Linked DNA regions of Nothobranchius furzeri. The protein of the gene in region 2 purifies or fractionates together with the protein of the main gene of each other region. This does not show direct contact. Links are inferred from orthologs where the notes say so. Each region holds a gene or a part of one and is shown on either strand. Other genes may lie near its edges.

The links.
Region 1: the proteins of gskip (region 2) and gsk3ba purify together in Homo sapiens (affinity purification with mass spectrometry; 10 studies listed by BioGRID and IntAct, with this or other methods). This does not show direct contact. The link is inferred for Nothobranchius furzeri from reciprocal best matches to the Homo sapiens genes GSKIP and GSK3B.

The regions. Positions count from the first base shown.
Region 1 is NC_091754.1:24,451,864-24,456,277, reverse strand, and holds the start of gsk3ba (glycogen synthase kinase-3 beta), read right to left. Parts: upstream 3,035-4,414; 5' UTR 2,228-3,034; coding exon 2,140-2,227; intron 1,396-2,139; exon of another isoform or gene 690-1,395; intron 1-689. UniProt on the Homo sapiens protein: Constitutively active protein kinase that acts as a negative regulator in the hormonal control of glucose homeostasis, Wnt signaling and regulation of transcription factors and microtubules, by phosphorylating and inactivating glycogen synthase (GYS1 or GYS2), EIF2B, CTNNB1/beta-catenin, APC, AXIN1, DPYSL2/CRMP2, JUN, NFATC1/NFATC, MAPT/TAU and MACF1.
Region 2 is NC_091758.1:32,386,008-32,390,615, reverse strand, and holds the start of gskip (GSK3-beta interaction protein), read right to left. Parts: upstream 3,032-4,608; 5' UTR 2,893-3,031; intron 1-2,892. Other genes in the region: autophagy-related protein 2 homolog B, read left to right, coding at 4,266-4,427. UniProt on the Homo sapiens protein: A-kinase anchoring protein for GSK3B and PKA that regulates or facilitates their kinase activity towards their targets.

The DNA.
Region 1 (4,414 bases), on a different chromosome or scaffold from region 2:
GAGGGATTTACCCCCAAATTCCACTACCTCCGCTCCGCTCCGCTGCGCTCCGACACGAACGCCGGAGCAAAATCGGTCCCGTTTTAGTCAATCAGAGCAATTCCACTACTGCGGCCGTGCTCCGGCAGTGCGGCGCCGTCCTCTGTTCCGGCAAAAAAAGAATCGATCCTATTTTCGCCGGACGCCGGAGCACCTCCGCAGTAAATGGACAGAAATCACAACCGTCCAACAGGAAAAGGAGCGGGCACAACTTCCGTTTTTCACAATACATCGATAAACAAAAGGCGTTTTTTCTTTCATATGCACAAGTTTAACAACTTTTAACAACTATCAGTGGCGGCTGAAGTTTAAATGCACAAAAGTAAGCCATAAATACAGTTTCCACTATCAAAGTAGTCACACTTTGTTGATCCAAACACTGCTGATCTCTCAACACAAATGATAGGCAGATTAAACAGTTCATGTCGATGCTTCTCCCACACAACGGGTGTTTGGATCTAACTTCCGCGTTTATTGCTCGGACTGTATCGCAAGATCTCGAAAATCCCGCGCATGCTTATTTGCCCACCTCAGGTCTCCGCACCGGAGCGGAGCCGTTGTAGAGCGGGTAGCAGTAAAAATTGAGTTCGGAAGCGAGCGGCAGCGGAGGGCGGGGGCGGACCGGAGCGGAGGTAGTGGAATTTGGGGGTTACAAGTCAACGGAGGAAACAAAGCCCATTGCACACTGCTGCCAACCAGCAGTCGGTGATTGAACTGCACCAAAAGAAAAGAAAATACACAAATGTACTGAATGTAAGAATGTAAATTCTTCCAAAAAATTGATACAAAGCTTTTGAATATCGATATATCGCTGTAAAATAATATCACCATATATTGAATATCGATATATCGCTGTAAAATAATATCACCATATATTGCCATATTAATATTTTCTTACATCCCTAGTTTCTACGTTGATTTACCAGACAGACCTGTTGAAAGAAAAATACAGCTAATAGTACAAATATGTTTTACAATAAGCTTTACATTGTGACAACAGGAATCCTCATACAGTCAACTCGTTTACTGGCAAATACCCCTTGACAATACTGTTTTTCATTTTGGACACACTAACAGGAAGCTCTTAAACACTCATGCATGTATATGATGCACAACAAGTGTTAGGTTTGGGACTGGAGTGCATTTTCTTCTTTGTGTGTCATAATCCATTAAGTGGTTTCCAGAACCGAGACCCAATAGTGAGCCTCAGGCCTAAACACTGCTCACACACATCCTGATCACATCACAGCCCGAAGCACCATCCACATTCCATAACACGTTCACTTTTTCCCCTTTCACACACCTAAACGAGCAAAAAGGTGGAACATGGGTGCAGCTGCTGTGAATTGTGTCAAGGTATTGAAATGTAAGCTATTACTTCAAATAAGTAGAGATTTGCTTTTTTAAATGAAGACATTAAACATTAAATTAGTAGTATCTGGAAACTGTAGTACAAAATTGCTATTTTTTTCTAACTATAGTGTTTAAATTGGGGAGAATTGTGCAGGTGGTGGATAAGAGTAATTTAGGATGCTATAAAATTGTCGCAGATGCCGTAAATGAGAGCTAAAAGGTGCCAGACTTTCTAGCCAGAGGGCATTGGCATCTGCGATCAGCTTGTCATCATGAAGAGGGCTCGTTTAGCTTAGGTCTATCTAGGAGCTGGTCAATTTCGCATGAGTCAACGATGGGCGCACCTTCCATTTGCGTAATAAACCAGCCCCATCGCTTTAACTCCGTTATGCATAGGATTGGTGCTGTGTAGTAATGCTCTGCGATCCAATCTAAAGTCAGTTATACAATAATTAGACCGGATTTTGCAGTAATTGGAGAAGGCATGGTTTCTGAACTGGGCCGGTGCCAACACTCGCCCCCCAAGCCCCGTGGCGGCCCTGCCCTGCTCCGGCGCGGCCTACTAGGCTGACCGGCTCCGGAGCGGTACGTCAGAGTGCAGCGGTGAGCGGCACAGGGGCGGTGTGAGCATATTTCTGTCAGGTCCAACCTTTTATGAGAGGGTTGTTAGCGGGGTGCGTGTTGTCCAGACTGACTAGGCCTGGTACGTGCTGAGAAAAGTCACTGTAGAATCAGAGGTGTACTCACGGCTGACTTTCATGCTGCCGAAAGCAGAGGGCTGCGGCACTGGTTTGCAGCTTTCGGCGAAAGATGTGGTCCTGGGCCGACCCGACATGATCCAATCCCTTTGATTCTCTCGACTGGGAGGCTTTGACTAAACGGAAGAGCTGATCGATTCACCGATCCTTCTCATCCAAAAAAGGATTGACAGTAAATGAATATGTATCTGTGATCCACAGGAAGGGCAGGCAGAAAGAGACCCCCTTTTTATCCTACGGTACCTTGCGTTACTTTTTGTTCTTTTAAAAATCAATTCGTTTGAAACAGTCCTTTCTTTCCCAACAACGGTCAATCAGAAAATATTTCCTTCTTAAACTCCAGGATTTATTTCAACGGGCCTCAGAAGACTCTCCGTCTAAAATAGTCATGAATCTGGCCTCTCCCTGTGGCCCCTGCTAAAAAAACGATTATTTTCCGTATGAATTCCACAATTATGAAGGAGGGTTGGCTCGGATGTTAATCCAACGTGGACCAAAGACAAACGTGTCGTTTTCTCGACGACTCAGGACACATGCAGTTCCTCTTCATATCCCGATGTGGAGGCTCAATGACCCGACTGCCATGGCGGCTCCCGCTATACCCAAGCCTACAGACCGTCCAACGGAAAAATTGCCAGTCGTCACAGTCCTCTTTAACGAATTAACGACTTCAAACCAACACTGAATCCGGTTTCGTCGTCGTCAAATTTCGGCGTCACAACCGAGGCTCTGGGGCGGCTAGCTTCTCGAAAAATAACGGTCTCAAGGTACAGAGTGCGACGATACCGAATGTCTTTTTTTATTTCTTCCCCATAGGTTTCGGGCTCGCAGTCTTTGTCGCTGCGCATGTAACGTACGCTGTTTCTGTAAAGGGTTTCCAAGCTAGCTCCACCATCACCGTAAGAAGTTCACGCTATTTACGTAACTCGTGACCGAGAATTTAAAAAAACGTGAACGCGCTTACGCTAAAACTGGGGCGGCATGGTCAACCAATCAGAGATGGGATCCTTCAGAAAAAGGCGTTTCCCCGGCGCAGTGGACCAATAGAAACGCAGGTGTTGAGCACCACATGGCATTATTTGTTCAGCTCCGCCCTCATGACTTCAAAGACTTTTCCATGCCTTGAAGGGGGGTAAGGGGCGGAGCAACCACCGGGATTGATGGCTTTTTCGACCAATGGAGCTAAAAAAAAAACCGGCTGTCAGTTCAAAATGCCCCAGCTGTCACAGAGCACCGGTGGTCATGCAGCACTGTTGCTATGTTAGTTACAAAAGCCTACCCCCCTTGCCTTTCATGGACACGTTTTTTTTCTCTTTCCCACGCGACCCTCGGGCAAATCAAGTAAATTTATTGCTCAGTTTTTCCAATTTTAGTTGTAAGTTTCCCTTCAGTATAACTTTTTAGAGAGGTTCTGCATGAAAATTGTCCAAGCTATAGTTTAAGTCTTAAAATATGAAGTGCTTATAAGTTTTTAACGTATGCAGTCAAATGAGCCAAATAATTAGATTTTTGGCAAATACTGAATTGATATTTGTAACTGATATGATATGTAAAGTATTTATAAAGCTGCGGTAGGTTAAAAGGGATTACACGTATCTCTCGTGACCCTGAACTACAGGAGGTCCGTGCAGCTTCAGTATCACAATCATCAGTGCATGCCTCCGTTATATGTCAAAAGGAAAAGTTCAGCTGTGTGGTGGAAGATCCCACATTAGACTCTGGGATACTTTGACATTTTTAAAGACAACCTCACGTCTGGCTGCTACTGTGCCATGATCTTTTGGTTGCAAGAAAACTCCAAACATCACACCCCCTCTACTGTGCATGAAAGTTGGTATGAGGCCTTTAGAGAGAAAGATGGCACAGTCAAATATGTGATTTGTTAATGACCATATAAATTCATCAGGATTAGTTCTGTAATGGAAAACCAGTTTTTGTTTCTCAGAGTGAAACTATTACTCATCCCAAACAGAGTGAAAGTCTCTTACCTCAAGATGAAGTCTTCCCTTTTTCTCAGTAAACAGTGGGCTGGCACCAGTCTGTCTTTTGTGTGATCTATTTATACTCTGTTGTGTTGCACATCAAAAGGAATTTCTCCGAGGCTGTCCTTCAATGGTTCACATGCAGAATAAACCTCAGCAGCATTTTAAAACAGGCTGCTGAGTTGAAGTAACGCAAGACACAGATTTCCCTTCGGCAACACCTCCCCCAGCCAAAGCATATTCTCCCACAAGCATAAAGATAAAACACAGAAAGGCAAAAGA
Region 2 (4,608 bases):
TTTTCTTTCCTTTTCTGCTTCCTTTGATGTTTACATCGAAAAACGACGTCACTTTCAGAAGTGAAAATAAAAGTTTTTTTTAAAGCAAGCTGCTTCTTTCTCTTATTGGAGCCACTATAACTCAATTTCATGCTAAATGTTTTGACTATCGCTTTGAGTTTGTTACGAACGCTCCCGCCTCTCTTCTTATTCTTATTTGTGGTCTTATGGCACTTGGCAAACAACAATTTGGTGCATTACTGCCACCAACTGGATTGGAGTGGAATGACTACCAATCACTTCCTGTTTGTGCAATTATAACAGGGCCGCCTGGTATTTTTTTATCTTATAAATGGTAAATGGCCTGTATTTGATATAGCGCCTTCTAGAGTCCTGGAACCCCCCAAGGCGCTTTACAACACAATCAGTCATTCACCCATTCACACACACTGGTGGGGATGAGCTACAATGTAGCCACAGCTGCCCTGGGGCGCACTGACAGAGGCGAGGCTGCCGAGCACTGGCGCCTTATGGCTGTAAAATTGTAATACAAAGTGCAAAGTGTGTGTAACTCTTCTTCTTTCAGAACAACCTCAGCTTTTAGTGCATGATTTGTATTTAGAATTTATTTCTATTAAAGCCTTTAAAAAAATCAGCTTAAAAGTGAAAAAAGCAAAAAAACGCATTAAAATTTTTTACATTTATTACTGAACAGGAACTTCAAAATGACTTGGGCAAACAATTTGGGATGAACAATTTAAACTTTGAACTGTAATGCATCTAATCCTAAAAAACTGTGAACCTTGGTATCTTTTTTAGCAGTTCTAAGACCATTTATTTTTGTAAACTTTCAGATGTTTTTATTTGATGTGGTAGACCTTGAAGCAGTTCCTCTCCAGCTGCAGGCAGAGTCCCACTTTGCGTGCCTCACACTGCCATGGGGTGCTTCTCTGGCACACCGTGCACTGCTATACCAAAAACTTTTGTTTTAGCAAAAATAATTATTTATGGTGAAAGGTAAATAATGCTGGAATTAAGCTGAATCTTACAATTAGCAAATAGTTGAGGGTTGTTCAAATAAAAAAATAAAAAATAATGACTGAACAAACATTCATATCCTGGTTCACTGGAGATCTGTCCTTCTTCGTAGTCACTGTCTTCAGATATAAGCCTTCTGGGACACCTAATAGATCGTGTTGATTTTCTCTGAGGCGTTTCCATAATTTCATGCTGGTTTTCATGCTAATTAGCTTCCCTGTTCCGTTATCCGCTTTCACCGCGGCGCTGCGCTCCATTACAATCAGGCTGTACAGCAGGATGTCCCCTCGTAGCGATATTTTCCATAACTCCGATTGCTTCATGCTATAGATCGTTGGAAAGCTGCTTTTATTTTAGGAACCGTTGAAATTTTTTTAATCTGACCAGCCATTCAAAAGTAATAAAACAGAGCATTTTGGATGACAAACTCAGCATGTCTCTGAATCTGTGTTGTGATTCGTTGCGCTCAAGACAGGAAATCCCGGTGGCTACCGTAATGTATTGTATATGCACAAAACCCCCCATTTTTAATCATTTCAGCACTTTTGGAATTTTAATGATATCTTGAACGGTTCAGGAATTATGGTAATGATAAGTGTGCATGTCCAATCCCGTCGGTGGCGACAGGTTGAATATTGTGGCATTAACAGAGGGGTGCCGGCGGTCAGGGCTAGGGGGCCCCCCCCAACACAAGGGGGCCCCAGGCGGCCGCCGACCTATGCCTAATGGTAAAACCGCCACTGAGAACATTGCACAGGTGTTACTCCTACACTATAATTATGGCTAATAAAACACGTTTGTTTTGATTCTTTTTGTTCTTTTTTTCCCTCTCAACCCCATCATTCACTGCAAACCTGAGGACACTCAGACTCTATGCAGATGAGTAACTATTGATTTCTCTTTTGCTCCATGCATTAGTCGAAAAAGCTGGAACCCATCACGATGCATTTACTCCAGGGTGCAGATTACTTCACTTCCACGTGAGTCAGCAGTTGCATGTCTTTGCTTTGTCATCAGTCATGACTGCAATCTTCAAGGTGCAGCAAAACTAAACAACCTCCACAGTAAATCAACTTTTACAGGGTGGGGAAACTTTCAGAAAGTTTATTTTTAAACCACAGACATTCTTTTCGTGTTTTGTTTATGGATGCTGATAAAATTAGTTTTATACACTTTAAAATAAACACTGTGCAATACTTTGTCACTGCTGTTTTTTGTACTTGAGCCCTCTATACAAGTATTTGTTTTACAGTTTAGTAACATAATGAAAAACAATACCTACAAACCCCTGCTTATTTATTAACCCAATTAATACGGAAAAAATACACACTCTGAATCGAACTCGGGCAAACATTTACATGTATATATGTATTTTAATAAGTAGATTAATATTATTATTATTAGCTTTGATGATAAGATTTTTTTACAACGACAGTAAAAAACATTATCAATGCATATTAAGTACATTGTGCAACCTAATGCATACGAATTATGCCTGTTTTCGTTTATAAATTGTACTTTATTGAAGATTCTTGTAACTAAATGTTTATAAAAACAAAAACAGCGACACCTTGTGGAAAATAAACAATGACGCATACGTATCTGCAAAAATACCAATAAACTGGCTTTGTAATTCACATAAATAGAATAATAACTTTAGGTGTTATAGTTATGTTTATTGAGCAAATGAGGTTTAAATAAATGTGGCGCTAAACTCTGCAGTTTTATTGAAAATCAACTGTTCGATCCAAACGTAATTCCGTCCTTCTTTTGGGTTTTAGGTGTGAATCTTCAATGACGTTTTGAAATATCAGTAAGAGATTGGATCGTGCATAAACAAATAAATACAGATGAAGCTGCAGTAATTTTTCTCACCCTCTCGCTGGTTGTGTTCTTCCGGTTTGGAGAAGCTTCTAGTTCCAGCCCACTGAGCTGCTCTGCGTGGGAAAGAACCACCCGAAAGGAGCGTCACTTCAAAAGCTATGATGAAAACACGCTTTTTTAACTTATTTTGTACAGATTAAATTCTGATTTTCTAAATATCAGCCAATTCTTAGTTGTGAAGTGCCGTGAGCATAACAGGTCCGCCATGTAATGACGTCATGAACTAATCCCACCCCTAAATGTGTGGGATTTATGGTGCATTCAGAGGCATGTAGGAAACGAGGAGAACTTTGAATAAATACTGAATTACTTAGAAACAAAAATATATAAAACGCCAAACGGTACGTATGTTTTCTCCTATTTAATGTCGCTGGATAAGAACATGTTTGTGTTGCTTTTGAGGGTTGCCAATGAACATATTTGAGTGTTTATTTCTCCCTCTGGAGGTCTCTCAATTAAATGCAGGGTCAGTTGGTGCGGAGTCATGAAAGTGTTTGTAAACAACTCAATCAGAAGGTAACTTAAGAGCTGTCTTGATGTGGTCTATTTAGCTTTTCTAAAGCGTCGTCGTTGAATTATAAACCTTGTTTTTAAGCATAATGTTTTAATTCGTTTACATTTTGAGTGGAGAGGCTTATAAAAGGAAAATGTGTTTTTACCTTTGCTCGCATGCTAACTAGCACAATGCTACCACCTTAGCTTTATGCTACCCACCGACTACGCTAATGTAGCTTCACCCCACAGAATGGGGAAACCTCACGCATAATAGCCGGCTAGTTAGCTGAATGACTTGCCTTTGTCTAGCCAACAGTCAAAACCGCCTGTCATGACAGCTGTGTTTACATAAACAAATTTAAAGGCTGATAAAGATGATAAATTTGTGATATGCTAACTACAGCTATTTCGCAAGTAACTAGTGGTAACAAGAGGCACAAACGTGCTCTTTATACACACGTTTGTAGTACGATTAATTTATATCCACCCAAGTGATTTAGTATCGTCTCAGTCTTCATTTAACAGCTAGATAACTCATTGTTCATAGTTTTCCTGTTAATATTTTGTGTTAAGTCATATGGTGTCATATTTCTAACCTTGTGTGTTGTTTTTCTCTAGACGCAGCAAACTGGAGTCGGACCCATTCCTACACACATCTCTGAGTATCAACACATCCTCCCGACTGTCTCAAACCCAGAGATATGAAGGATGTTTGAGCTCACAGTTTTTCTGCATCTTCAAGTCAACAGGATGACATGATTGTCACATCACTGGTTCATTCATAGCTGTCTGAAAACCTGCAGCGTTGCAGTAGCAAACTTTCAAGTCAAAATTTCATCACTTGCTTGCTGCTGGCCTACCAAGTTGAGATGCCTTGGCCGTTTTCGGAATCGATCAAGAAACGGGCTTGTAGGTACCTCCTGCACCGGTACCTAGGAAACTTCCTGCAGGAAAAACTGAGCTTGGAACAACTCAGTCTTGATCTTTATCAAGGCACTGGGTCTCTTGCGCAAGTTCCTTTGGACAAATGGGTACGTACAGCTCATTAATTTATTCCAACTGAATATCCAATCTAATGTGTACTACGACATAAACATAAATTCCAGTCTGATATGATAAAATATTTCTAGACCACTACATTTTTGGGTTAATGAGTTTAAGGCATCAACAAGAACAATTTTGGCCAATGCTATAAATACTCGTATGTCAAAT